4 linked regions of the Saccharomyces cerevisiae S288C genome follow. Changing the gene in region 3 together with the main gene of any one other region gives a genetic interaction. Each region holds a gene or a part of one and is shown on either strand. Other genes may lie near its edges. The genes, in order: VPS72, CKB1, RPA34 and CKB2.

Region 1 (5,816 bases), on a different chromosome or scaffold from region 3:
GTACCTCTCTTTGGACAACAATGGGTTCCAACCTGCAGAAAACCACTCTACGAGGGTAACCGGGTTAGAGTTTCATTGGGACGATGCTCGGCGGCTAATGCTTCTATTATCATGTTCCACGGACTGGACGGTGCGGCTGTGGGACGCGCGAGCAGGGAAAGCTATCATAGGGGCGCCATTGTTGTTAGGGGGGCCCGTACTACGTGCACGCTGGCTCGAAAAAAACAATGGAGGGGAAAATAGTCGCACTCTACGGTGTCAAGTGTGGTGTGCAGATGGTCGCCTCGTTGTTGTAAATTGGGCTTTCGATGCTAAGACGTCCCTCTACACGGCCACTGTTATCTCCTAACGCCGCTTCGAGGCGGGTGAGCATAGGTTATTGCCTGATGAGTAATTTCTTAGCGAGAATTGATAAAAAAAAGCAAGGCTATTATTAATATACGTGCTATTGTGAAATTTTCATTGGCGTATATATGTGAGGTGAATGTAAATATCTCCAACAAAAAGCAGAAGGCTAAAAAAAAGGAAAGGAAAAGAAGAAAAGGCAACGTCGAAAATGTTTACACCAATTGATCAAGCTATAGAACACTTCAAGCAGAATAAGTTTGTAATTGTTATGGACGATGCCGGTCGTGAAAATGAAGGTGATCTTATTTGCGCTGCTGAAAATGTCAGCACTGAACAAATGGCCTTTCTTGTACGCCATTCCTCAGGCTACGTCTGTGCACCTATGACGAATGCCATTGCTGATAAGTTGGACCTTCCACTACTGAGAACAGGCATGAAGTTTGAATCCAATGATGACGACAGGCATGGAACTGCATACACAATAACTGTAGATGTAGCCCAAGGCACTACCACAGGTATTTCTGCTCACGACAGGTCGATGACTTGTAGGGCTCTTGCAGACTCTTCCTCTACGCCAAAATCATTTTTAAAACCAGGGCACATCTGTCCCTTGAGAGCCGCTGATGGCGGTGTTTTGCAGAGAAGAGGCCACACTGAGGCCGGTGTCGATTTGTGTAAACTAAGTGGACTAAGTCCCGTCGCTGTTATTGGCGAATTGGTTAACGATGACGAACAAGGAACTATGATGAGATTAAATGACTGCCAAGCGTTTGGTAAGAAACATGGCATTCCTTTGATCTCCATCGAAGAATTGGCCCAATATTTGAAGAAATAATCTGGTGAACATTTTCTCCATTCATTCTATCACAACAGACTCACACATATATACATGTATATATTTGTAACTTTGTATATATCTTTTGTTTTTTGACCTTTTTCTTCCTCTATGTTTTTCAGCCATACAAAAATATGGGATTTTTAGCAAGAGAAAAAGTACATCTAAAAAAAGTAGTAATAGGAGGAAGCCAAGATTGGTTGAAACACAGTTATAAACTCTTCAAGGCAATTATGAACAGGATTTTCGGATATGGGAACAAAAAGAGCCATGATCAGCTCTTACAAGAGTCGAATCAGTCCATGAATCAGGCCCAACAATCACTATCGAACAGAATATCCCAGTTAGATACTCAAATCGCCCAGTTAAACTTCCAGCTGCAAAATATTCAAAAGAATTTGCAAAGATCAAACAACAAGCAACCCTCGTTAAGAAAACAGGCTTTGAAGATTTTAAATAAACGTAAACAGTTAGAAAATATGAAGGATTCTTTAGATTCTCAATCCTGGTCCATGACGCAAGCCCAGTTAACAAATGATAACTTACAGAACACAATGATCACTATAAACGCACTAAAGCAAACAAACAATGCCATGAAGGCTCAATACGGCAAGATAAATATCGACAAACTACAGGACATGCAGGATGAGATGCTGGATTTAATAGAACAAGGGGATGAGCTGCAAGAAGTCTTGGCAATGAATAATAACAGTGGCGAGCTCGACGACATTAGTGATGCAGAGCTGGATGCAGAGCTGGATGCTCTGGCACAAGAGGATTTCACTTTGCCAACCAGCGAAAACTCATTAGGTAACGATATGCCCAGTTACTTACTAGGTGCGAATGCGCCACCGGCTTTTATTGATGAAGAGCCAAACTTAGATACTGAAGACAAAAATAAAGCTTTAGAAAGCGCTCAGTGAAAACAAAAAGCACACAAAGTTGCATATTCAGAATTTTTCTCTCCTTTCCCTTTTCTTTATATTCTCTTTGCTGGTAAGCCAAAATATGTACCTTATTTAGGTTTTAGTAGTTTTCTTTTTTCTTTGTTAAAAAAATCCTGATGGAAAAAACAGTAAGCAGAAAGCACCATGTAGTCTAATGAATACAAATAGAAGTGAAACCGAAGCAAATTCACAGTGCACGATGAGTGATGAAGGTGCTGATAAAAGTCTAGATACTAACACAGAATTTATTATACAAACACGATCTAGGAGGTCTAATGCCGGTAATAAATTACAAAAACTATTGGAGCAGGAGCTAAGAGATATAGAATCTACCAAAAGACAAATTTCTTCCTATAAGAATGGTAATGATGATGAAGAAGATGAAATAGGGCTGTTGTTTCAGGAAGATGAAGATGATGAAGATTTCGAAATGATGGCAAAAGATGACGATGATGAAGGGGAAGAAAAAGAAGATGAGACTCAAAGTATAAGGAAAGAGCCCTCTCAGGCTTCAAGTGAGCAAGCAGCCGATGACTTAATGTTCAGCAGTAGCGAATCTGAGGACTCCAGCAACGAGAATGATGAAGATGCAGAGGAAAAGGAAATACGAAGACAAGAACTACTTTCAAGAAAGAAAAGAAACAAGAGATTACAGAAGGGTCCCGTTGTAATCAAAAAACAAAAACCTAAGCCTAAGTCAGGAGAAGCTATACCAAGATCGCACCATACCCATGAACAATTAAACGCAGAGACGTTACTATTAAATACAAGGAGAACTTCTAAAAGATCATCGGTAATGGAAAACACGATGAAAGTTTATGAGAAATTGTCTAAAGCTGAAAAAAAGAGAAAAATTATACAAGAAAGAATAAGGAAACACAAGGAGCAGGAGTCTCAGCATATGCTGACACAAGAAGAGAGGCTACGGATTGCCAAGGAGACTGAGAAGCTGAATATTTTGTCACTGGATAAGTTCAAGGAACAAGAAGTTTGGAAAAAGGAGAATCGTCTAGCTTTGCAGAAAAGACAAAAGCAGAAATTCCAGCCAAATGAGACTATACTGCAATTTTTATCTACTGCTTGGCTAATGACGCCAGCGATGGAGTTAGAAGATCGTAAATATTGGCAGGAACAATTGAATAAACGTGATAAGAAGAAGAAAAAATATCCGAGGAAGCCAAAGAAGAATTTAAATCTCGGAAAACAGGACGCATCAGATGATAAAAAGCGGGAGAGTGAAGAATCGATAAAGAACGATGGCGACGTGAATTCTTTGGGTGAGAATTCTTCATCTGTACACAACCAGAAAAGGATTGAGGAAACTTCTACTAACGATACAGTTGAAGGAGAATCGAGTCCAGATGCAGCGGTGAGTAGAGTAAATTCAGACGAATTAAAGCCAACAGCATTACCTGATGTTACATTGGACGCAATTGCAAACAAGCAGAGTACCGTTGATGAAGCTCCCAACAGCCAACCACAAAAGAATATAATAACTAATGAGCAAAAAATTACCAATGTAGGCGAACCGATACAAAATTTACATAATGAAGAAATTAAAGATGAAATGGTAAGTGCTCTCGAGAGCAGGGAAAATACTTTTGAAAACTCATCACCTGCTGCCCAAGTGGTCTCACAAAGGGATAATTCTGCAACACCTACACCATCAAACTCCACTGGCACTGAAGATACTATATTGATCTCTCCGGATACGGATATAAAAGGAGAGCCTGAACCTTGTCTGAAAACCGAAGGCATCGAGAACTTATCTCATAATGTACCACAAGAGACCAAAAGCAATACTGATGTTTCTTTCTTGAAACAAGTAACGTTTACCGACCATCCGCAAGTGGCCATAATCGATACTGAAGAGTCACCCTCAAAAAAAGATACAGCTAATGTTGATGAATCTTCCGCGGAAAACTCTTTATCAACACAGACCTACGAAGGGCCTGAGCAATTAACCTCAAGGAACTTTGTTACACTTTATGATTTTCCTAATGCTCCTCCAAATCTAAAAGATTTTAACACAAACTTATTTGGTGATCGATGGTCATACACAAATGGGTTATCCGCCACTCAGCGTCCACAAGATATGAAAACTGTTTTCCACTCCATTTTACCATCACCTCCTCAGTCTTCAGTACCGTCTCCTACCGTAGATATATCACTTGATCTGTCAGCTCTGGCAAATTTCCCATCTTTTGGGGAATACGATAAGAAAATAGTCCATCAAATCAACACAGAGATAAATAAGGATTTGGAAATCAAAATTAAAACACAGCCTCCAACGGGTGTCTTCTTAGCCAATGGTATAAGAAAAAAATGTTTAATCACAAATAAAGAATGTCAGTACTTTGATCCAAGGACTGGTGTGCCTTATTCTGATGTGGAAGCTTATAAAATTATTCAGCGGATTCAAGATCCTATTTCTAAGGAGGAGGGAAGGTCAGATATCAAGCGTGATGAAACGACAAATGAGGATAGTGACGATCAAGTGAGATTCAAGTGGTTTGGGTTCAAAAACGGCGGTATTTACCTTGATTTAAGTCAAAGACCTGCAAAAGGTGTTCCTGAAGGATTTTAATTGAGACAGACTATATAATGGTAGGTCGTTAAACATTTGACTATATTCCACACAAAATAAGAAATCATAAAGATCATTTTACATAAAAATATACTTTATACGCTCCATGTCTTATACAATCGTTACATTCATCAATTTCTGGTGAAAGCTTCAACTAAAGTTTTGAAATGATTTTCGGTCTCTCTGATTATTAGTGGTACGCTTGAATCATTATCGTCGTCATTCGCAACTTTCGTACCAACATTTTCAGCAGAATCAAAATTGTAGTTTTGTGCATCCGAGTCATTTATATTTAAATGTAGATGCAATTGCTGTAGGTTATTGTATAAATACATGTAATTTGTAGCCAGAAATCTTTCTGGTGATTTCGTCTTTTTACTGCACTTTGTCATGACTGTTTCGAAATCATTTCTTAATCTAATGATGGAATTGTATAAGGGTTCAGATCTTTCGTCTATGGACTGCTTATGTGTTATTGCCAACGTCAAGAAGCTTGATAAAAATTTACCGAACTGTACAGTTAACTCATGAGGTGAGGTCAAAGGGCTACTATTGGATGTGCTTGAGTTGCCGGCATATTTTGCCACATTTGTAGTTATTGCCGCTTTTCGTAAGCTCTCGCATTGAAAATCGACCAATTGCTGAAATCGAGGCCATAATTGAATTAATTGACCATTCAAGAAACTATCAAACATAGACGGTATTCCTCTCCTTTCTGATTCAAATTGTAATTGATTGGCCACACGAATACTTATTAATACACCAAAAATGTCATAATTATATTGGATCAGTTGTTGAGTGTATGTTGTGGCTTCATCAAAAGTTGGTTGAAATATTTGTTCCAATAAACCATTAATTTCCTCAAAATTATCGCCATTCATAGCGAAGAAATCTTTTAAAAAATGGTACTCCACCGTACAGTTATCTAAAATTGCAAGGTTTAAATTTTTAAATCCAATTTCAATGTAGTTTTTCGTTGTGTTATTTTCTGCAATTTGGGATACCATTACCGTATTGTCTTCTTGTGTTAAAATGTTCAATCTTTTCTTTATCTGAAAGTATTTATCAATTTTCTCATCTGTTACAGGGAGTTTATTAT
Region 2 (4,412 bases), on a different chromosome or scaffold from region 3:
ATGGTCTCTATTATCCAATCATTCTGCTGTTTCATCATCTAAATCTAAGAAAAGATGGTCTGTACTTTCTTCAAGCTTTACCAGTGAATCTCATAAGGACAGGGAATCGAGGAACGTTTTGCAACAAAAAAGAAAATCCTTGCAGAGTTATTCAAGCTTAGATACGGTAGCATCTAATAGCTCTATCTCTGCTTCTTCTTCTTTGAAAAGATCGTCCACTGGTCTTTCCCTCAGACAATTGTTTACCAAGATAGGCATAAACGATGATATATCACAACCTGGGATCGGGATTCCGCAAGGTAAGGAAAATCTGCCTCCAACTATGGGCAAAAAAAATTCATCAATTGCTTCCACTAGTTCGGAAAACAGACTTAGGACACCATTGAAGCCGCTTGTTAATCATTCTAAAAGGCCCACTTCACAACCACAACAGCAACAACCACTATATAATGCATCATTGTCCTCGAGAAGATCGTCGATTTCTTCCACTGTCTCTTCTTCCAGCTCGTCTAAATGGAGATTCTGGAAGAGAAATAAGAACCAGACACCTGCATTGTTGCAACCAGACCACCATTCTTTAAAAACCTTTCCTGCAGTAAACCGTCGTGATTCCATGACGCCCGTTGAACCAAGAAATATGGTAAAACATAAGACATCCTTTTCAGATTTCCATAAGACTATCTTCAGTTCAAATACGTATTCTGAAAGCAGCGATACAATATCTTCCATGGAAATTACTTTGAAAAACAAAGCTTCTTCCTCAAGTCTATCTTTGAACGTGTTGAAGAAAAGGAATTCGCAATCAAGTTTGAAGCACAAAAGTTCACATGCATCCTTACAAAAATTCAAAAGAAACAAAGGAAAGTCCTCCATGATAGCACCATCGACAGCAACTAATAGCAGCAATGATGACTCTTGTAGCTACAGTTCCAAAAATTCTACGTTGAGTCACCGAATATCGTTACCTGTACCGGACCAAGTTTCCCGTGATAAAATTCAGAACAAATTAAGATATTCGACCTCATTACTCTCATTAAATTCTAAATCATCTTTACCGATGAACAAAAATGATCATGATGAGACACTTCTAAGACAGATTTTACTAAATTGTGATATAAAGAGAATTTTAAACCCCGCAAAAGGAGATGTATTGCCTTTAATCAACGATGTAAACCATTTGTCATCAATACAATTAACATCAAATGTTTGGCAAATTGGTGAAGTAATCTGTAAAAAAGTTTCTCTCGGTACTATTGATGACATTACATGGGATAGAAAGTTCTTATCTTTGCAGGAACTGGAAAAACTCAAAATCATGCAACAAAAATTTGATGGCATACCGCAACTATTGAAAAGTTTTGTTGTTAAAGAGGCAAATGGGGGGTTGTATTTGTACTTACTATTCAAAGATCACGGTACCCCAATTTCGTTAATCTCACTGAAAAACTGGAAGCAGATTCTAAAGATTTTTTGGTCTTGTGCTGGTATAATTCATGGGTTGGAAAAAAATTTGAAATTTGAACATCGTAATCTTACTTTGGATAATATTTTGATAGATGGTAATGGGAATATAACAATTATTGATTTTAAATGCAGTAGATTGCAAACTCCTCAAGATGATGTTTTATATCTACGGCTAGATCATCCACTCTTTTTTCTAAATGGGAAAGACAAGAGTAAAATAAACGAATACCAGTATCAATTTGAGTTTGAAATCTATCAAAGTATGCGGATCTTGTTGAACATGGACGCGTCAGCTTTTGAGCCCATGACAAATTTGTATTGGTTATATTACCTGTCACGCGTTTTACTAAAGTTTGGTGACAGGAAGCTTGGTAAGAATGATGCAAACAGGGATAAAATGGCAAGGGTGATAAACCATTTGGAAATGAACTTGGCAGTTCATAAAAGAGGGGGGCAGTTATTCAAAAGATTGGAGACGGAGGACATTAAGAATACTGGAGATTTACTAAAACTTTATAAATAAAACAAATAGGAATGTTGACATTTATATTTCATTTTCTTTCTATTGTATACTCCAATACATAAACATATTATATATACGTACATAATGTAATAACACTAATCTAAAATAATGGCATCGTCGACAGCATCCAAGGCTTTCTCCTCTTGAGTCTCCACAGATGCAGGTGCTTCCATTTTGGGAGTCAAAAACAATTGCTTAACGATAAATTCCACGCCGTTGATGACATTCATCAATGCCCAAACCCAGATTCCCAAAGAGACACTCTGTAAAGCCATATCATCAAACTTGGAAGCACCAAATTTGCCCTCCATTATATGCCATTTCTGAGAAATAGTCCTTAGAGGATGCAAGAGAACATATAACCAGCCTTGAGACCAAACACCACTTACAAACGTAGGGAACAAGGTGCTAGTCGAGGAACTCAACTTGTAAACTGGTGTCTTGCCGTACATAATCTTAAACACAAAAAATGGCACCGTCAATGCCAATAACCTGAGTTTGTGAAGATGGGCCTGAAAGGCTTTATTTTCTGATTGTATTTCGTCCTTCAAGTTATTTATTTCTTTATCTAACGAGTCCAATTTTCTATTGTTCTTAGTCCATTTGGCATAATTATCCTGCGCGGAGATAGAGTTGTTGAATTCTTTTAATTCGTGACGTTCTTTGACCTTGGCTAAGTATTTTTTGGATAATTCATTTCCTGGTGCAAATTTAGAGATCCATTTCTCGTGGTATTTGTTTGTATACTGTAGAAACTTTGTGACCACAATAAAGAATATCGCTACCGCTGCTGCCCAATGCATTTCTCCTATTTCAATCAACTAGACGTAGTTCAAGGATTGCAAACTGTCCTGCTTTCTTTTATCTGGTCTTTTTATCCCGAGGTATTGTTGTATATACCACTACTCTGTGATTTTTTTTCACTCTTGGGAAGGAAAGAAAAAGTGAAAACATCAACTGGTAAGTGTCTAATGACAAAAACAGGAGGTAGTTGGTACGTGCAAAACACGATAGTGACGTTAATCCGAATCTGTAAATTGGTGAATTGGTATTTAGAAGCGACCATTAGCTAAAAGAGAGAGAAAACTATGTCGCAAGAGTTTGTGGAAGACTATTCACGTACAGGGTCCTCAGACGACGAGGATAGTGGAGCTTATGACGAGTGGATTCCATCGTTCTGTTCCAGATTTGGTCACGAGTACTTCTGCCAAGTCCCGACAGAGTTTATCGAGGATGATTTCAATATGACCTCGTTATCCCAAGAGGTACCCCACTACCGGAAAGCTCTGGATTTGATATTGGATTTGGAGGCTATGAGTGATGAAGAAGAGGACGAAGACGACGTGGTGGAAGAAGACGAAGTGGATCAAGAGATGCAGAGTAATGACGGTCATGATGAAGGCAAAAGGAGAAACAAGTCGCCAGTGGTGAACAAGAGTATTATCGAGCACGCAGCAGAACAGTTATACGGATTGATACATGCAAGATTTATTCTGACCAAGCCAGGCCTGCAAGCAATGGCTGAAAAATTCGACCACAAGGAATTTGGAACGTGCCCCCGTTACTATTGTAATGGCATGCAGTTGCTGCCTTGTGGGTTGAGCGATACAGTTGGGAAACACACCGTAAGGTTGTACTGTCCCAGTTGTCAGGACTTGTATCTTCCCCAATCATCTAGATTCCTGTGCTTAGAAGGTGCATTTTGGGGGACAAGCTTCCCTGGTGTGTTCTTGAAACATTTCAAAGAATTGGAAGAGTATGTGGAAAGGAAAAGTAAAGAGTCCTACGAGTTGAAAGTTTTTGGGTTCAGGATAAATGATGAGGCAGTATCTGGTCCTAGAATGAAGTGGTTGAGACAATATCCATCCACGGAGGAGGACTGGGAAGAATTTGCCAAATGCGAGTTCGAGACACCGGCGGTTTAACCCTTGATTTATTTTCCTCTTTGCCCTACCATATACATATGTACTTTACCTATTTACATTGTTTCAGTTTTTATATCACCACTATTATTATTATTACTATTACCACTTTGGAGTACTTTAGTGATTCATTTCCAATTGTTTTCCTGGAGCCCAGTCTTTGAATGCCTTGGCCAAGTTGTACCAGTACTTTAGCTCCACGGTCAACTTCACTGCGGCGGCGTAATCCTTGTCATTGTAGCATTGTCCCAACTGGGCTTCAATATCTTGAATTCTTTCCTTGTTTTGCTTTTCAAGCAGCTTCACACCAGCTTCGTCGTCCATCTGGGATAATTCATCATGGATGTCTAGAACTTTCAATAGTAACTGTGGATCACTGGTAGTTACTTCATTTGAGGTCTGTTCTTGCGTCAAATCGATATTGCGCAAGAGTTTTAGCATATATTGTGACCTTCTAAGGGGATCTTTGAGAGTATGGTAAGCTTGATTAAGAGTTGATGACT
Region 3 (4,123 bases):
CGAAAATTACATTCCGAATCTCACCAAATATCTTTCACAGCGTATCTCTTCTCGGCTTTCTCATATGACTTTATTCATCGACCCTTTAAAACTGTTCAATTATCTTTACCCTTTAGATATCAAGTTACAAATCATCGATTTAAAATTGCATTGGAGGAGGGAGTTTTACAATAATGATTATTTTGTTAAAAAGATACGACCCGGCAATCCTCTGACTAAACTATCGGAGGTTTTTGACAAGAGGACATTGAAAATTCTTACCATCATTTCTTGGAATGACACTTTGTTAAAACGCGAGACAGAAATGCTGAAAGATTTTAAAGAATTTGAGAACCTGGAAGATTTGTCTTTGATTTCTATTAAGCAGGATGTTCATATCCTCGTAGATCTTTTTAGTTCGTTAACCAATTTGAAAAGACTAAAAATGGATTTCTTAGAGGAGTATGTACCTGAACCCACAAATCCTCACATATTTCTCTCCATTCTTTTAGCTTGCTCCAAATTGCAATTCATAGATCTGAGATACGACGGTCTTATCCCACAAATCATCAATATTCAAGAAAATAAGTTCCAACTAAATCAGCAATGCAACTGCACAAACTGTCAAATAGTATTCAGTGACATTCTGAAGGGCAAAATATTCATGTTCCCTGAAGACTACTATATTCACGATCTTCAAGACATTGCTGCAAAGGATATTTTTAAAATGATGAAATACCTATCTTTGTTACCATACTCTAAAGCTTGTGATGCTTATCCGAGCGTTAGAACACAACCAATGAATTTGACTAATTTTGTGACCAAGATGAACCGCAACCTTTTGGAATATAGAAATTCTAAATCCCAGTTGGTGCCCAAAATCGTTAATAACCCACATCAACACTCCACCGTGACTTCCACATCAACCGCTCATATGAGCGAGCCCGAAATGATAATAATCGATGACGATGATGATGATGATGAAATTAATGCGGCCATTCCTCCAAGTAGTGATGACACAGCAGCTACAATTTCCACTGACCTGGAACTTCCTCATGAATCATTGACCAAAAGAGATATTATTATGTGTTATCACGCTCTTATCCATCACTTCAAGTCGATTTACGTTACTTTTTTGAAAAGTTTTCCTCATTTGAGATTCTTGATGTTGAATGACATTCCCACAATAGTTATGGAGGAGAATAATGAACGTATTTTTGAACCCGTCTTTTATCATTATGATTATAAGAGTAATCTGTATGGATGGTCAAAGGAATCGAACAAGAATCTGGAGAACGACAGCAACAACAACAATAATAATTCTGATACCATTGCAAGAATAGCCACTGTTATGTAATCAACTCCCCTTCAAATATATATATTTAATAATATATATTCAACGCATTTTTTAAGCTAGCAGGATTCAGATTACTGGTCTACTTCATATTAAGGAAATACAAGATCCATTCGGATGCTAGAAAAAAATCAACCAACTATTCCAATGTTGGTAAGCTGGTTTGATAAAGTAAACACAAGATACTACAGTATACGATCACTCAGACATCCTAGGAAGGTCTCTAAAGAAGAGCGGTCACCGAGAGTACTAACGATGGGTTCGTAAGCGTACTCCTACCGTGGAAACTGCGAATGTTAAGGAACCAGTCTTTCATCACCGTGATCATAAATTATATATATTATCTGTCTCCTCAAATTACCCACATTTGATAATCTCATGAGAAAAAATAAAGGCTCAGATCTGCATGTGTTGTATAACACTGGCAAGAAAAGTTCCCGTTTGCAAACACAAATGATTAAAAAAAAATGTCACAGAAGCAACATCTTTTCAAAATCATTCGCATTAAGAGAACGAGATAAAATCCCTTGTCGTCATGGTCGAATCGGACGAGGAAAGAAGAGACACCATTATCATCAGGGCCAATCAATTCTTCTTTTCTGTTTAAAAAAGTGTCATGAAATTTCTCTTGAGATTATTCAAACTTGAATGTATCAAATGGGAAGGAGTGCAATGCTGAAGTCGAAAGAGGAGGATTACTCTCATTCTTACTACATTACAGTCACTGCTGTTTGTTCTTATGTAGGGGAATTCTTATTAACCGAATGTCGAGATTATTATAACCTTACAGAAGGTTGTCCAGTATTTATACATTTTGTTTCTGCCCATAAAGCTCTAGAAAATGAAAAAAAATTTTCTTTTCAGCCTGAGAAAGTTTTTTCTTAGGGCAGCGTGTGGTTATTGGGTGTTGCGAAACTTTTTTTCTCAAACATGAAATTAAAGAAATGAAAAATTTTATCGATGAGCATTGAATAGCTCAAGTTATAGGGTATTCGGTATCATATAGGTCTGTGATCGAGTGAGCAGTGAGCAGCTAGGATTCAATAAACGGGATTAACAAAAAATTGATATGTCCAAGCTTTCGAAAGATTACGTATCAGATTCAGACTCTGATGATGAAGTGATATCAAACGAGTTCAGCATACCAGATGGTTTCAAGAAATGTAAACATTTAAAGAATTTCCCTCTCAACGGTGATAACAAAAAAAAAGCGAAACAGCAACAGGTTTGGCTGATCAAATTCCCATCAAATGTGGACATCTCCAAGTTAAAATCTCTGCCTGTAGATTTTGAATCCTCTACAACCATGACAATTGATAAACACGATTATAAAATCATGGACGATACAGATATTGAGTCCTCGTTAACACAGGATAACCTCAGTAATATGACTTTATTGGTTCCTTCGGAAAGTAAGGAAAGTCTTAAAATTGCTAGCACTGCCAAGGATAATGCACCATTACAGTTTGACAAGGTATTTTCTGTCAGCGAAACCGCTAAAATCCCAGCTATTGATTACAGTAAGGTAAGAGTTCCACGTAAAGATGTTCCAAAAGTAGAAGGCTTGAAGTTGGAGCATTTTGCTACTGGTTATGATGCCGAAGATTTCCATGTGGCTGAGGAAGTTAAAGAAAATAAGAAAGAACCAAAGAAGCGTTCACATCACGACGATGAAGAGGAGTCTAGTGAAAAGAAGAAAAAGAAGAAGGAGAAGAGGGAGAAGAGGGAGAAGAAGGATAAAAAGGATAAGAAAAAGAAACATAGAGATTGAATGCGTATGTGCGTATAACTGTGTGTAACATAAGATAAAAATGTGCATTTGTGTGTGTGTCAGTGATTTTTTTTCGCATTTACATATATAAAAAGGCATTTCTGCTGGTGGAAACTGATGAATGTTTTGTGTGGGCAATATTACTATTTAGTTTTGCATACTTAAATTTGTGTATACGATTAGAAATTTCAATATTTCGGGTGTAACACAAACGATTATTTTTTTCTTGATTTAGAGTCGCCATATGAATATTATTAACCTGCTTTTTCTGTGTTCTCTCTTATATGAGGTTCAATGGTAAGTGTGTTTTTAACTCGTGTTCTTCTTCATTAATCATCTTTAATACACTTCCAAGGTTGACCTGTAAATCTTCAAAGATTAGTTTATCCTGGCACGTCCGATGGATACTCCGTATAGAAATATCTAAGGATCTAATAAATTTGTATTGGTCCATTATTGGTGTGGACGGTTTCTTCGGTGACTCCAGCATTATTTTGCTTTGTATACTCAATTTTACGATATCAATTAACCATTTTTTGACCAATTTTGGTTCCTCTTCAACGCATTTCGAAATAGCCCTTAAAATACGAACAAGCAGGATTTGATTTTGGGTGAAAGAGAAACCATCATCTTTATTGTGGTTCAGGACCGTTAAATCAGGCAATATATGTGACTTTTCATACAAAGATTGATAAATTAAAATCAAATCGTTATTCCTCCAATTTGCGCCTAAAAGCTTAATGTAATGAATTATATTTTGACGAATATTATCTTCAGATACGTTAGAAGTTAGACATCTCCACAAAAGACGTCGCAGAGGAAACGGTAGATCACTGTAATCGGACAACCAACGAGGCTCGTAGTCTTTTCTTATTTGCACATCGTGCGTTCTATAATACAACAGGATGGATATCACTACTCTTTGGTATTCGTCAAACAAGGCTCTGTGCTCCCATACTTTATCGAATTTGTTGAACTTTTTTGAGAGCAAAATTTCTGTTATTTGACGCACATTAGTT
Region 4 (3,255 bases), on a different chromosome or scaffold from region 3:
GACAATTGTCGGCCTTTGTTCATTGCCAGATCCATTCTTAACATCGAGGATTAAATTCGGATTATTAATTGGAGAGTATTTAAATGTAGATCTGATTTTCGGTGTTGCAAGTCTAATCCTTGAGAAAGACGTATTGGGTAGGAGCAAGCCGGTATCTAAAAAGTCAATTGGCTGTAGCTCTTTTTTCTGCTTTTTGCTGCCAGGGGCAATGTTACTTGGAGTTGCCTCTTTTGGCTTTCTCTTCAAATCCCTTGGCACAGTGTATGATGGAGTGTTGAATTCCATTGATGTGCTCTGGATAGTTTTGATGCCATTAGTTTGATTGTTAGCCGTTTTTTTTTTGGTCGGTTTCTTGCCCACGGCAGATCTACCAATATCGTTTGGAATAGGTGCTGCGCTTGCAGATTCTTCTAATTTGATGTTTTCTGGGAAACTTTTCGGTATTTGTTCTGCTAACGGCTCTTCAAGCTTTGGAAGCTTTTTGTTTACTTCTTGTAACGATTTGATTTCCGTTTGAGGCAATGCTACACCTAAATCCTTCTCTTGGAATGCGAATGTATACAATGTCGCGTCGTTTGAAATGGCAAACAAGGTGAACCCATCCTGTGACCAAGACATATCGTTTATTGCGGTGGAGGAAACCTGGAGAGCATTAAACAAAGGTTTCATTCTCTTCGTATTCCAAACCAAAATAGTACCGTCTGTAGATCCCGAAGTGGCGATTAAATTATAGCGTGTGCTGGTGCCCTTTTTCAAATTAGGCTTTTCATAAAATGCTGGAGAATAAACAAGAACTCTACATCCATTTGAAGAAGGTGTTACCAGTGTTTTTGTAACTTTGTAGTTGTTATTTCTGTCAAGTAAAGCGGTACAGCTGGTAGCATTATTCGGCACACCTTTCACCGAGTTTATCACTGGTAAAATGTCTGCCTGAGGTGACATTGAGATTCTATAATGTAATGGATACATTTGTACATGCTGCGTAAGTTTATTTATGAGTTTGTGTGTACCCGTTTTGTTAATTTGATAGACTAAAATTGATCTATCTGAAGTCATAACAGTAAAAGTTTGGCCAGTAGGATCTATTATGCCTGTAATAGGTTTGCTCGCCTTGTCAATAGTTATTTCAGAGAGTTTATCAAAGGTTTTATGCCGAAATAATAGTATCTTATTTTCATTACTTAAAAGAACAAATAAGATACCTAAGTTTATGTCATATTTCACATCCGTTATTGTGCTTGGAGATTTACACTCGAACAGAAGCTTACTGTTCATTTTTTCGACAGAATTGATGTTATTTGTATCTCTACAGAGCCAACCTGAATAACCCCACAGACGATGTTCAGATCCAATATACAATGTTTCGAGATCACCTGTTATGAAAAAAATATCACCGGTAGTATCCTGATCCACCTGGAAAGAAACTTCTGGCTTTAAATCCTTAATCATAACCCTATCGAATGCAGTATCGACTAGTTGTTGTTGTCTCCACGCCATCACGTGACCCCCACTGCCTGCCAATATGATATAGGGACCAAGGGCAGCTAAGGCATTCACTTGTTCATTATGAATATCCAAAGGATACTTTAATAATCTCATTGTTCCGGATTGTGTAGGAACTCCTTTGCTGCGTGGCGTATTCCTCTGTATGGACGATTTAGCACTTTTTGTATATTGTTTTATGAAGACTTCATAATTCTAGCCGAATTAACTGATATTTTTTTCGCGCTTTTTTTTGTCGACCTTCCAGGAAGAAAAAATATGAAAGCGAATAAATGGAGGTGTATTGGCAATCCTTTATCAAATGAAAACAAGCACCAAATAGAATAAGTAAATCACATTCTTAAAGAAGTTGGTCATTCCAGATACGTGGAATTTTCCTGCTGTATTTTTTCATCAATCTTTTACTTGAGAAATACTAGCTTTTTTCAAATTATTCAAGATTAAGGGACTTAGAGAACTGATAGAAAAGCAGATCATGGGCAGTAGATCGGAGAATGTGGGAACAGTGACTAGAGAAGGCTCCAGAGTGGAACAAGATGATGTCCTCATGGATGATGACTCTGACTCATCGGAATACGTGGATATGTGGATCGATTTATTTCTTGGGAGAAAAGGCCATGAATATTTCTGTGATGTCGATCCTGAGTACATCACTGATCGTTTTAATCTGATGAACTTGCAAAAGACAGTTTCAAAATTTTCCTACGTGGTACAATATATTGTGGATGATTTGGATGATAGTATCCTAGAGAATATGACACATGCCCGTTTAGAACAATTAGAATCAGATTCCCGGAAGCTGTATGGTCTCATCCATGCACGCTACATTATAACTATCAAAGGATTGCAAAAAATGTACGCTAAGTACAAAGAGGCGGACTTTGGAAGATGTCCCCGTGTGTATTGTAATTTACAACAGTTGTTACCGGTTGGTTTGCATGACATTCCTGGTATAGATTGTGTCAAGTTATATTGTCCATCTTGTGAGGATCTTTATATACCAAAATCATCGAGACATAGTTCCATTGATGGTGCATACTTTGGAACAAGTTTTCCAGGTATGTTTTTGCAAGCATTTCCAGATATGGTACCCAAACACCCAACTAAAAGATATGTTCCAAAAATATTTGGATTTGAATTACATAAACAAGCTCAACTGACAAGGTGGCAAGAACTACAACGACTCAAGTTAGTTGAGAAACTTGAATCCAAAGATGTTGATTTGACGAAAAGTGGTGGTTTTAAAACCTAACTATTAAAGAAAGAAGAAAAAATTCGAAATGAAATCCTAGGCGAAATTGAAAACGAAAATGAAAATAATGGAGAAACTTCGTCATAAAATTGTGAAAATCAGGTATCATTTGTTCTCCTAGCATTTTCTTTCCTAGAATATTACTATTTTCTACCTCCATTCGTATTTTACTTTTCCTATTTAATATTAAATTTTTATATACCGTTATTGCCCCTTACGGCAATAATACAACCAGATAAAAGAGCGTGCTCCGAAGTTAGCCTGTTATATATCAACAATTTGCAAATGTGGTTACCCACGAATTATTGGTGTTATTTTAGTGAATAGCTTGAAATCTTTGAATGTAGGAAGCATCCTTATTTATCAAGAAATTGGAGAAGTGGCGGCATCGCGTGGAGACTGCCTATGAACTAAGAGGCGGTTTATATTTTAAAAACTCAAAAGCTGTTTGAAGACTAATCTGGAAGTACTGAAAAGAGGAGATTTACTCATTCTTTGGT

The links.
Region 1: mutations in RPA34 (region 3) and VPS72 together harm fitness more than expected from each alone (negative genetic interaction), as found in Saccharomyces cerevisiae (5 studies listed by BioGRID, with this or other methods).
Region 2: mutations in RPA34 (region 3) and CKB1 together harm fitness more than expected from each alone (negative genetic interaction), as found in Saccharomyces cerevisiae (5 studies listed by BioGRID).
Region 4: mutations in RPA34 (region 3) and CKB2 together harm fitness more than expected from each alone (negative genetic interaction), as found in Saccharomyces cerevisiae (5 studies listed by BioGRID).

The regions. Positions count from the first base shown.
Region 1 is NC_001136.10:1,423,721-1,429,536, reverse strand, and holds VPS72 (Vps72p), read left to right. Parts: upstream 1-2,329; coding exon 2,330-4,717; downstream 4,718-5,816. Other genes in the region: PAC11 (dynein intermediate chain), read left to right, coding at 1-349; 3,4-dihydroxy-2-butanone-4-phosphate synthase RIB3, read left to right, coding at 557-1,183; VPS60 (Vps60p), read left to right, coding at 1,417-2,106; VPS52 (Vps52p), read right to left, coding at 4,849-5,816. UniProt on the Saccharomyces cerevisiae protein: Participates in the catalytic exchange of histone H2A for the H2A variant HTZ1, an euchromatin-specific factor, leading to chromatin remodeling and changes in transcription of targeted genes. Indirectly involved in vacuolar protein sorting.
Region 2 is NC_001139.9:455,081-459,492, forward strand, and holds CKB1 (casein kinase 2 regulatory subunit CKB1), read left to right. Parts: upstream 1-3,075; coding exon 3,076-3,912; downstream 3,913-4,412. Other genes in the region: protein kinase ALK1, read left to right, coding at 1-1,987; GET complex subunit GET1, read right to left, coding at 2,083-2,790; J-type chaperone JAC1, read right to left, coding at 4,030-4,412. UniProt on the Saccharomyces cerevisiae protein: Regulatory subunit of casein kinase II/CK2.
Region 3 is NC_001142.9:138,035-142,157, forward strand, and holds RPA34 (DNA-directed RNA polymerase I subunit RPA34), read left to right. Parts: upstream 1-2,402; coding exon 2,403-3,104; downstream 3,105-4,123. Other genes in the region: SCF ubiquitin ligase complex subunit DAS1, read left to right, coding at 1-1,336; SMT1 (Smt1p), read right to left, coding at 3,385-4,123. UniProt on the Saccharomyces cerevisiae protein: DNA-dependent RNA polymerases catalyze the transcription of DNA into RNA using the four ribonucleoside triphosphates as substrates. Component of RNA polymerase I (Pol I) which synthesizes ribosomal RNA precursors.
Region 4 is NC_001147.6:403,790-407,044, forward strand, and holds CKB2 (casein kinase 2 regulatory subunit CKB2), read left to right. Parts: upstream 1-1,978; coding exon 1,979-2,755; downstream 2,756-3,255. Other genes in the region: HIR2 (Hir2p), read right to left, coding at 1-1,599. UniProt on the Saccharomyces cerevisiae protein: Regulatory subunit of casein kinase II/CK2.